Drosophila melanogaster: one gene and its partner. The protein of the gene in region 1 interacts with the protein of each later gene in a pairwise test. Each region holds a gene or a part of one and is shown on either strand. Other genes may lie near its edges. The genes, in order: CG14362 and CG13407.

Region 1 (3,649 bases):
ACGAAAATCGTTAACTGGAATACACAAAAAAAAAGTTAAGAGATAATAAAAAGTATAATTGAATTAATACATATACATATTGATTTAAGCTAAAATATATTATTAGTTTATTCATATCAAGAATTGTATCATAATGTTATGGCAGAGTCTACACCTTGTTTCTTATCTCTCACCAATTTTCTCGCAGTGTGCACAGCCTGAATGTCCAGCAGTAGCTTACTGCCGTAAACTATTGCAACCGCTAACTGCCAACTGCGAACGCTCGACTGAAATTCGAGCAAGATTAAAAGGCAAAGTTAACTCAAAACTCCGTTTCGGATTTTTATGACAAGCGCATGAATCCGTGTGCAATTGTAAGTGCGCCATATAATTTACAGATAATTATTATAATTACAAGTTATTTTCAGTTAACATGTTTGCAGTGGCCGTTGTTCTTGTTGCCGCGTGACTCGCCTGTGGTGAGAATTGTTGTTGCGGGCCAATTAGTTGGTTCTTTTCGAGCTCCAAATATATTTTTGCAATAATAATTAAGTCGTTTTGATGCGATTTAATTTCATTTTTTGTCCACTAATTAGTTTGCTTACGATTAGTTAAACGAGTACGTACCGAGCATAAGACTTAGGCAACGAACTTGAAGCAAACGAATGACTTAGGCAACGAACCCGACAGCAGAGATGACACTTCGCTGGGGATAGTAAATACCTTATCTTTCGGGATGGGGATGTTTGGTACCGTTTGTTGGGAATAAGATAGAAATAGTTATATGCGATCAAGGAAGTGATAAGACTAACATCAAAGATTTAACGACCACATAAAGTGAACCAGCGGATTCTTTTCCTTTGGACGATTTCATTCAACTTAATTAGGGAAAAGTTTCGAGTACCTGAGTCATCTCCCTCCCTCATAACTCTTTGGCCAATTATGCGTTATGGCCGAAACCGAAAACTGAAACTAAAAATACTGTATCTCTCGGCCTTTGGTCATAAATAAGTTCGCCAGTTCAGAAAGCACGAGTGAGTATAAGGAAAACAATCTATGGGCAGGGCCAAACAGGACAGAAAAGAGCCTGAACGGGTTGGTTCGGGCTTGGGTTGGTCGACTGTGGGCTTGGAGCGCGATAAAAATCGCTGGCAATTTGTTAAATTTAACGATTTCGAACCGCCAGCTAACGAAAACTGTGCCGAATGTTGGCCAGTCCGCCCCCGAACCGACCCCTTCCTCTACTTCGACTGTTTTATGGCCAAATAAATAATTAAAATGATGCGTGGTGTTAAGTGCCGCCACGTCGAAAAGTTCGGTGGAGAACAACCAGCAGAAACACCAGGAACATCACCACAGCCACGGCGATATCTGAACCACACGCAGTCTGACCAGACCATTTCTTTTGAAAATTTGTCATAAATTTATCGCTTTCGCGACCGGGTTCACTAAACCCCCAACTTGGGCACGTACTTTGTCGCAGTCCGCGCTTAATTGCTTGTCATGTGGCACACATTTCTGCCGCAAATTGGCCACCAGATATGCGACCATTTGAGACGTGACCCTCGGCAGGCGGACCACACAGCGGTTGAAGTTCTAGGGCCGCCAAAAGTTGTAACAATTTTTCCCTTGGGTCCACGAAAGTTTTTCAGCTGACCTCCAAGTAAAGTGATTTTGATATCAAGTTAAAGGCACACGGCTATATTGTAAATAATTTTTATATAAAGAATCTTTGGTTGCTAAACTGCAAGAGCTAAAACGATACTCATTTCATAAACTATTTTACGCTTTTTTTTTTTTTTTTGAGTTCGTTTAACCTTCATGAAATGGAAAAAAATACCAAAATCGACCGTCATTAAAGTCGGCCCCAACACAAACTGAATCAGAATAACACTCGGAATTCGGTTTAATTTCTGTTTTTAGTGAAGTAATATGCTTTATGAGTGCTCGACTTCTTGCGCACAAAATGTCACTTGTCGCAGCTTCTTGTCTTTGGAGATCTTTTTTTTATGGGTGTACACGATCGTAAAAGACAACTAACGCATAAAATGAGGTCTAGACCCTAATCTTAACAGATCTTGAACGGCGTTTATCAAAAACAAGAAAAATGGGAAATGGAAAATGAAGTAGCAAGTGTCTTATATATTGTATGTGCTTCTTAGTAAATGCTGTCAGTGGAAATTTTCAAGTACTATAATTTTAAGAAATCTGTTTTAATTGGATGGCCCTACAGAATGGGATGTCTGTGTTTGAGGAAGTTCTCCTCGTATCCCTCAGTTCCACAAGAGATTATGAACACCCTCAGGATGAATACAGCACGTAAGAGGTTATGAAGCTGTGCAAATCCAGAATTCTGATATCATAACATTTCCCAGTAAGTCGTAGTCAGATCAAGTATCTGTATATTCGATTCCACCAGTTTTCAGGAGGAGGCAAAGATCCCCCAAGTCATCTGCACAAGTACAATTTCTATTCAGGACTACTGCAACTAAACCCCTTGCTGCCCACCATATTGAACTCCATGTTCGGGAATAAAGTGACAATTACCTTTGTGGATTTCGCTCTGTTTCTGAGCACCTTTCAGGCCCATTCTCTTAAAACCTCCAATGAGCTAAAAAATGTGATGATGGACAAGAAATTAAGGTGTAAGTTCAACAATAAATATGGTCAAATGCGGTTAGTGGTGCTGTTGCTTCTGAGCCATTTAGGAAGCCTATATTACAGACTGTGACATAAGTAAAATATAAATTTTTTCAGTAATTTTCAACATGTACGATAACAACAAGGACGGTCGTATTACAAAGTATGACTTGGTTGTAGTTGTCCACAAGCTGTTCTCAAATCTATTGGATCACGTGCAGATAATGCGCATTGTGAATACCATAATGAAGGAAATGGATCATACGGACTCGAACCAAATAATGTTCCAAGACTTCTGCAAAGCATTCGCAGTCTTCGACATGACCGAAATGATGGTCACCTGGATACCCGAATACCATGGTCGAACCACAGATGATTTGTAATAAGTAATTCGTTTATTTATTCAACTGCACAAAAATTTGAAAATTAAATGTACACATGATTTAGCCGCTGAGAGCCGTTAGAACCGGCGTTAAAAGTTTAAGAACATTATAGAGGGCGGGACTCAACAATTTTAACAAATTAAGATCCCCTGATGAAAGACTTGAAAGTGCGCTCGATAAAACGGACAAATAGGAGTTACTTAAACATGTGGTCCCAGTAGTGCCAGTTAAAGAATCAAAGAGCCCAGCAGCTTTAGATGTACGTATTATTTGCAGAATCAAGATCTTTAAAAAAACAATGTTAACGCCTTTATACATTCACATTGTTAAATGTTATGAAACAAAACTCACAGTTAAAGCCAATATAGATGCGATACGAGCTCGCTTGAAAATCAGCATGATTTTTTGATTTATTCTAGAGCGAAATAGCTGTGCAACTATTAAACAAAACTAAAAACCATGTGTATATATAGACTAACTTCTCAAATTTCACCGATCACGATACCTTTGCCAAGATACTGCCTATCGGAACTATATAGTTCGTGAGCTAGGTTTGATTGGGCTTAGGCAGTTTGAGTTACTCAACAGAATCACATCGATTTCCGGCCACCGAATGCCAAACTTTATGACTCTATTAGGGCGAAATT
Region 2 (4,524 bases), 8.2 Mb from region 1:
AGTTTGCTTTTGCCGCTCATTGGCCGTGATTATTGTGGAGCCAAGAACGAAATCCCACTAAATAAGTAAACTGCTAGCTAGGTAGCAATGCAACAGATTTGTATTAGACAAACGGGTGTGTGAGTCCGGAAAATTGCAACTTAGTTGCTGTGGCAGGCAATAAAATAAAGTCTTAGCCAAGCGCCAGGCAAAATCTGGGGGCACTTTTAATTTGTTGTGCAACAAATTAGCATTTATTTTCATTACGATTCCAACTTGCCGGGTGTGTCTGTCTGCCTCACCGCCTCATCGCCTTTTTCCATTCATTTTTTGTCAGCTCTTATGCACGTTGTTTGCTTTTAATTATAAATACATGTAAGCTAAGCATTTTTAACCCTCGGTCGTGCATTATGATATACAACTTTTAAAGGTAATGTAAAATAATTCTTATATCGTATTATAACTTTATATGAAAATCAATAATACAAGTAAGTTAAATGTGGTATTTTTAAGCTACAACGAAAGAGCGTGGATAATATTTACAGAATGTAAAATGCCATAAGCTATAAACGCTGCTTTAGCTGTTCTAAAAAAAAATCCATTCACATCTTTTTTTGCCCATCCACATTATGCCACCCCATTTTTGTGCAATGGGTTAATGCAGCAAATCCCCGCCATGCAACATAGAAATGTGCGCGGAATTCTTGCATTCAATTAATGCGTGTGCGAGTATAGAAAGCATCGCTGCGTCGCCGCTGCTGACCATTCTCGTCCTCATCCCAGAAACCATCTGCATCCGTATCCCTATCCCTATCCCGATCCCTATCCCTGTGGCCATAGCCATAGCCATAACCATGACCATCGTCATCATCACCTTGCCGTCGCTGGGCATTATCCAAGTAAGAGCTCACGCCCGACTGAGCGCCCAACGAAGCTGAAGACCACGGTGCGGATGAGTAACGCTGCCTGCCATAAGACCAAGGATGCCGATGGGAGTTTGTGCCAGCATACGGGTTATAGTGGTGCTGATAGTAATCGGAGCCCGACTCCGATTCAAAGTCGGGCCGGGACGAGTGGTCGATGTGTGTGCGATTAGGATAGAAATCGCCGCCATCGGAGGTGGAGAAGGTCTGAGGCGGAGGTCGGCGCTGCCCGTAATTATAAGCATCATCATTCGCGTTGTGGGGCCGATAATCGTGATGATTTTGCTGAGGGTTCGACTGGTACTCCATTGGCTGGCGTTGGGGCGGCTTATTGGCCATCTCCGTGTGACGGCTGTAGGGCGATTGCAGCACCACCGTGGGCGTAACAATGGAGGGCGGCACACTTGGCTCGACGGCCGGAACTAAAGCAGCCTGATGATTCCAAGATGATGCCGCTGCCGATGCCGTTACCGATTCGGTGGCCGTTGTCGAGGTCTGTTCGCGTGAATTCATCTCGGCTAATTTGTTGAAACGATTGCGAGTGCCGCTGGCTGTGAGCACCATCACGGTGGGATTCATGTCAGCCATATGATCCTTCAGGCAGTTCTGCAGCATGTTAACAAAGAAGAAGAACGAGAGCAGCGTTAGTGCGTTCATCACCGAACCGCTGCTCTTCTTCGATTTCTTTGACGATTTGGTGGGCGGAGGAGCCGGTGGTGGACCAGCCGGCGGATGGTGGGCAGATGGATATGCGGGCCCACTGCCCGCACTACTGGGATGAAAGGAGGAGAAGCTACCCGAGGGTGGGTCATGCTGCAGCTCGTACTCCACGGATGGCTCTATGCCGCTGCAAAATTCAAACTGGCATTAGATGCGGAACTTGCACTGGAATTGGGGTTATGGTTTGACTTTGATGGCCAGTGCACAGGAAGAAATAGGTAATTTAGGTTGATAAGTTCGAAACTTTAGTATTCATTAGTATCAATATTATTAAGTATATATTCATCTTCAAATAGTTATTTATATTTTTTCATAACAGTTTAATTTCTTTGTATATTTGGAATGAATTTTCTTGTTCATCCCATTGCTTTTCTCTCAGTGCAGCGGTGGTTCTTTGCTTACCCGTAGCCGGAGTGTCCGCTGCCAGCCGCCGTGGCCGCATAAGCACCGTTGTGGCTGCTGGCGGCCGCCAGGAGCGGTGGTCGTCCCTGCTGCCCCTGGTATCCTTGGTGTCCTTGGTGGTAATGGCCCGGCAAGTAGTGGCTCGGGTAGTAGTGGTTGGGATAGTAATGCACACGCTGCGTTTGACTGCAAGAGAAGGTTAGAAGGTGAGTGGTGAAAGCGGGCAAGCGGATGAGTGAGTGGGGGGGGGGGGGGGTTGGGCATGTGGTTGTGTGGCCGAGACGCCGCTTCTGTTTGTGTCCCACATTAGCCCGGCTAAGTGCCTGAGGTATCAGTCCGCGCCCGCAGTGGCTGTCTTTTGGGCCAGGGGTCGTTTGCGATTGCAGTTGCCTCCGGCACTCCAGCACTTAATCTTTAAGCCAAAGAGCACACTTTATCCTGTTGCAACTGACTAAACTCTTTCAAGGCTCCTTTAAGCGATTATTAATATTACGTAGGATAGAAGAAAGAAGTTTGTTAAAGCGTTTAAGTTTTGCATATATCAATGACTGAAAAAGAATTAATTCATTATTTACGATGTTGTTTAGCAGGACTTCTTGATAAATATATAAAAAGCACTTAAGCGAGTTCAGATTAACAATATAATTCTAGGGAACTGAGTGAGTGTGCCACTTCTTAATTATATCAAATTTAATTTGATTTGGCTGTATGGCAAATACAGTCGACATCCCAATGCCTTTGACCATGGCTTACGCATAATTATTTCCTGAGATGGCTGAAAGCAGCGGATGTTGTTCCTGCTGTTGCACGTTGAGTTGATTTGTCATTTGGCCGTCGGACATTTTCACCGTCTTTGAGTTCACCAAATTCAATTGCTAATTGATTTGTGCCGAAAAGCGCGCATGTTTATCACTACACGGTGCACCAGCGTGGCTCATTGTCGCTGGTGCTCAACCTGCCATAAACCGATGGCAACTCGACTGCAGAAGCCGCAAACAGGACGATCAGGACTAACAGGACGAGCACGACGAACTGGAGTTTGGGGCTGAAGCAGCAGGAGATGATGCGCCCAACCAACCGCAAGTGACAATGTCGTTTAGGCAACTGGGCAAAGCCTTTCCCAGACACTTGCCTGGCAGGCGGCTATTAACGCAGGTGAACTTGAAGTGGGTGGTAATCGTGGTGGTGCTGATAGTGGTGTTGCTGGTGATGCGGGAAAGAAGAGAGGCAGGCGACTGTCATTGTCAGCTGCTAAGTGAGTTTGGCTACAACTAGCAACTTGCAACTGCAACGGCCTTAAAACAACTACTCAATGGCAGTGTTGGCAGGTACGGCTCGAGCAAAGCATTTGTACCAATACTTAAACTAGGTACAAGTACAAAAATTACAAAAAACATAGTAACTCACTTATTAAAAGAAGAAGTTATAGATTCTAAACGAGAGCTCCTTACTTTATCCACTTTGCTATATTGCTTCTTTATTGAATTTCAGGAAAGGTAATCTTTAGTATCTTAATTTAATTTTGTACTCCGTGGAGAAAGTATTTCCATTTCCCATCACTGTTCGTAACACGTACCCAAAAGCCAGCTGACAATTGCCGGCAAAGTGTTTTGTGGCGACAACGGCCAACTGACACACACCTGAATTGGAGCGTTGCGTTGCATGCATGCGCTGCACATTTCGGCCAGGCCAGACAATTAGTGAGCGACAAAAGGCCGGGAATGCTCCTTGGCATCAACCCCCCCCCCCCTACACTCCTCCTACTCCCTACCCTTACCGATTCCTGTCAGTGTTAATGACGCTCCAGTCGCTTGTTTATTGCATTAAAAGCTCTATGGATGCAGCGTTATGCATCAGAAATTGTCATAATTGTGCCATGTCTGGCCCAGACTTTGCCACTGTCGTCTGTGCAGCCAAATGGAGCTCGGTTCTTGTGGTCCCTTGTGCGGTTAGTCGAACCCGGCTTTTGGTTGGGGTCCACTTCCACTTCTCCACATCCACGCCTTTGGTCTTAAAGATTTATGACTGGGGCTAATAGTTTTCATTGCCAGAAAAGATTTTTATATTGAATTGAATTTTATGGGGTATATTAGTGCTGCTTATATCAGTTATCACACACTACAAGTGCTCTGATCTTCCACTAACTTTTTCTAACTATATTTAATTGTAATATATATACTACTTTTAAACAAGAAGTATACAACTCTTCGATCACAAACATAGCACAGTCTCGAAAAATCCCTGTCTGTTGTCTTTCGTAAAGCGGAAACATTAGACTGCAATAACAAATATTTAACATTTCCGCAGTGCTAGCGACAACGTGGAGCAAAACAAAAAAGAAAGAACAACATCAGCTAGATTTGCAGAATCAAAAGCATATAATAAATTGCACTGCAACTTTTCCACACATTTTCCAGCTTTGTAACGCTTTGATTTGTCGCGCTGCCCCAACCCCCAAAAATTTGGCCCACAGGAAATGTTGGGCAAAAAACTATGGAAA

Evidence for each region.
Region 2: the proteins of CG14362 (region 1) and CG13407 interact in a two-hybrid assay, tested with the Drosophila melanogaster proteins (one large-scale study listed by BioGRID).

The regions. Positions count from the first base shown.
Region 1 is NT_033777.3:13,854,014-13,857,662, reverse strand, and holds CG14362 (uncharacterized protein), read left to right. Parts: upstream 1-2,208; 5' UTR 2,209-2,213; coding exon 2,214-2,298; intron 2,299-2,354; coding exon 2,355-2,624; intron 2,625-2,736; coding exon 2,737-3,002; 3' UTR 3,003-3,064; downstream 3,065-3,649.
Region 2 is NT_033777.3:22,101,756-22,106,279, reverse strand, and holds CG13407 (uncharacterized protein), read right to left. Parts: upstream 2,867-4,524; coding exon 2,778-2,866; intron 2,211-2,777; coding exon 2,025-2,210; intron 1,750-2,024; coding exon 690-1,749; downstream 1-689.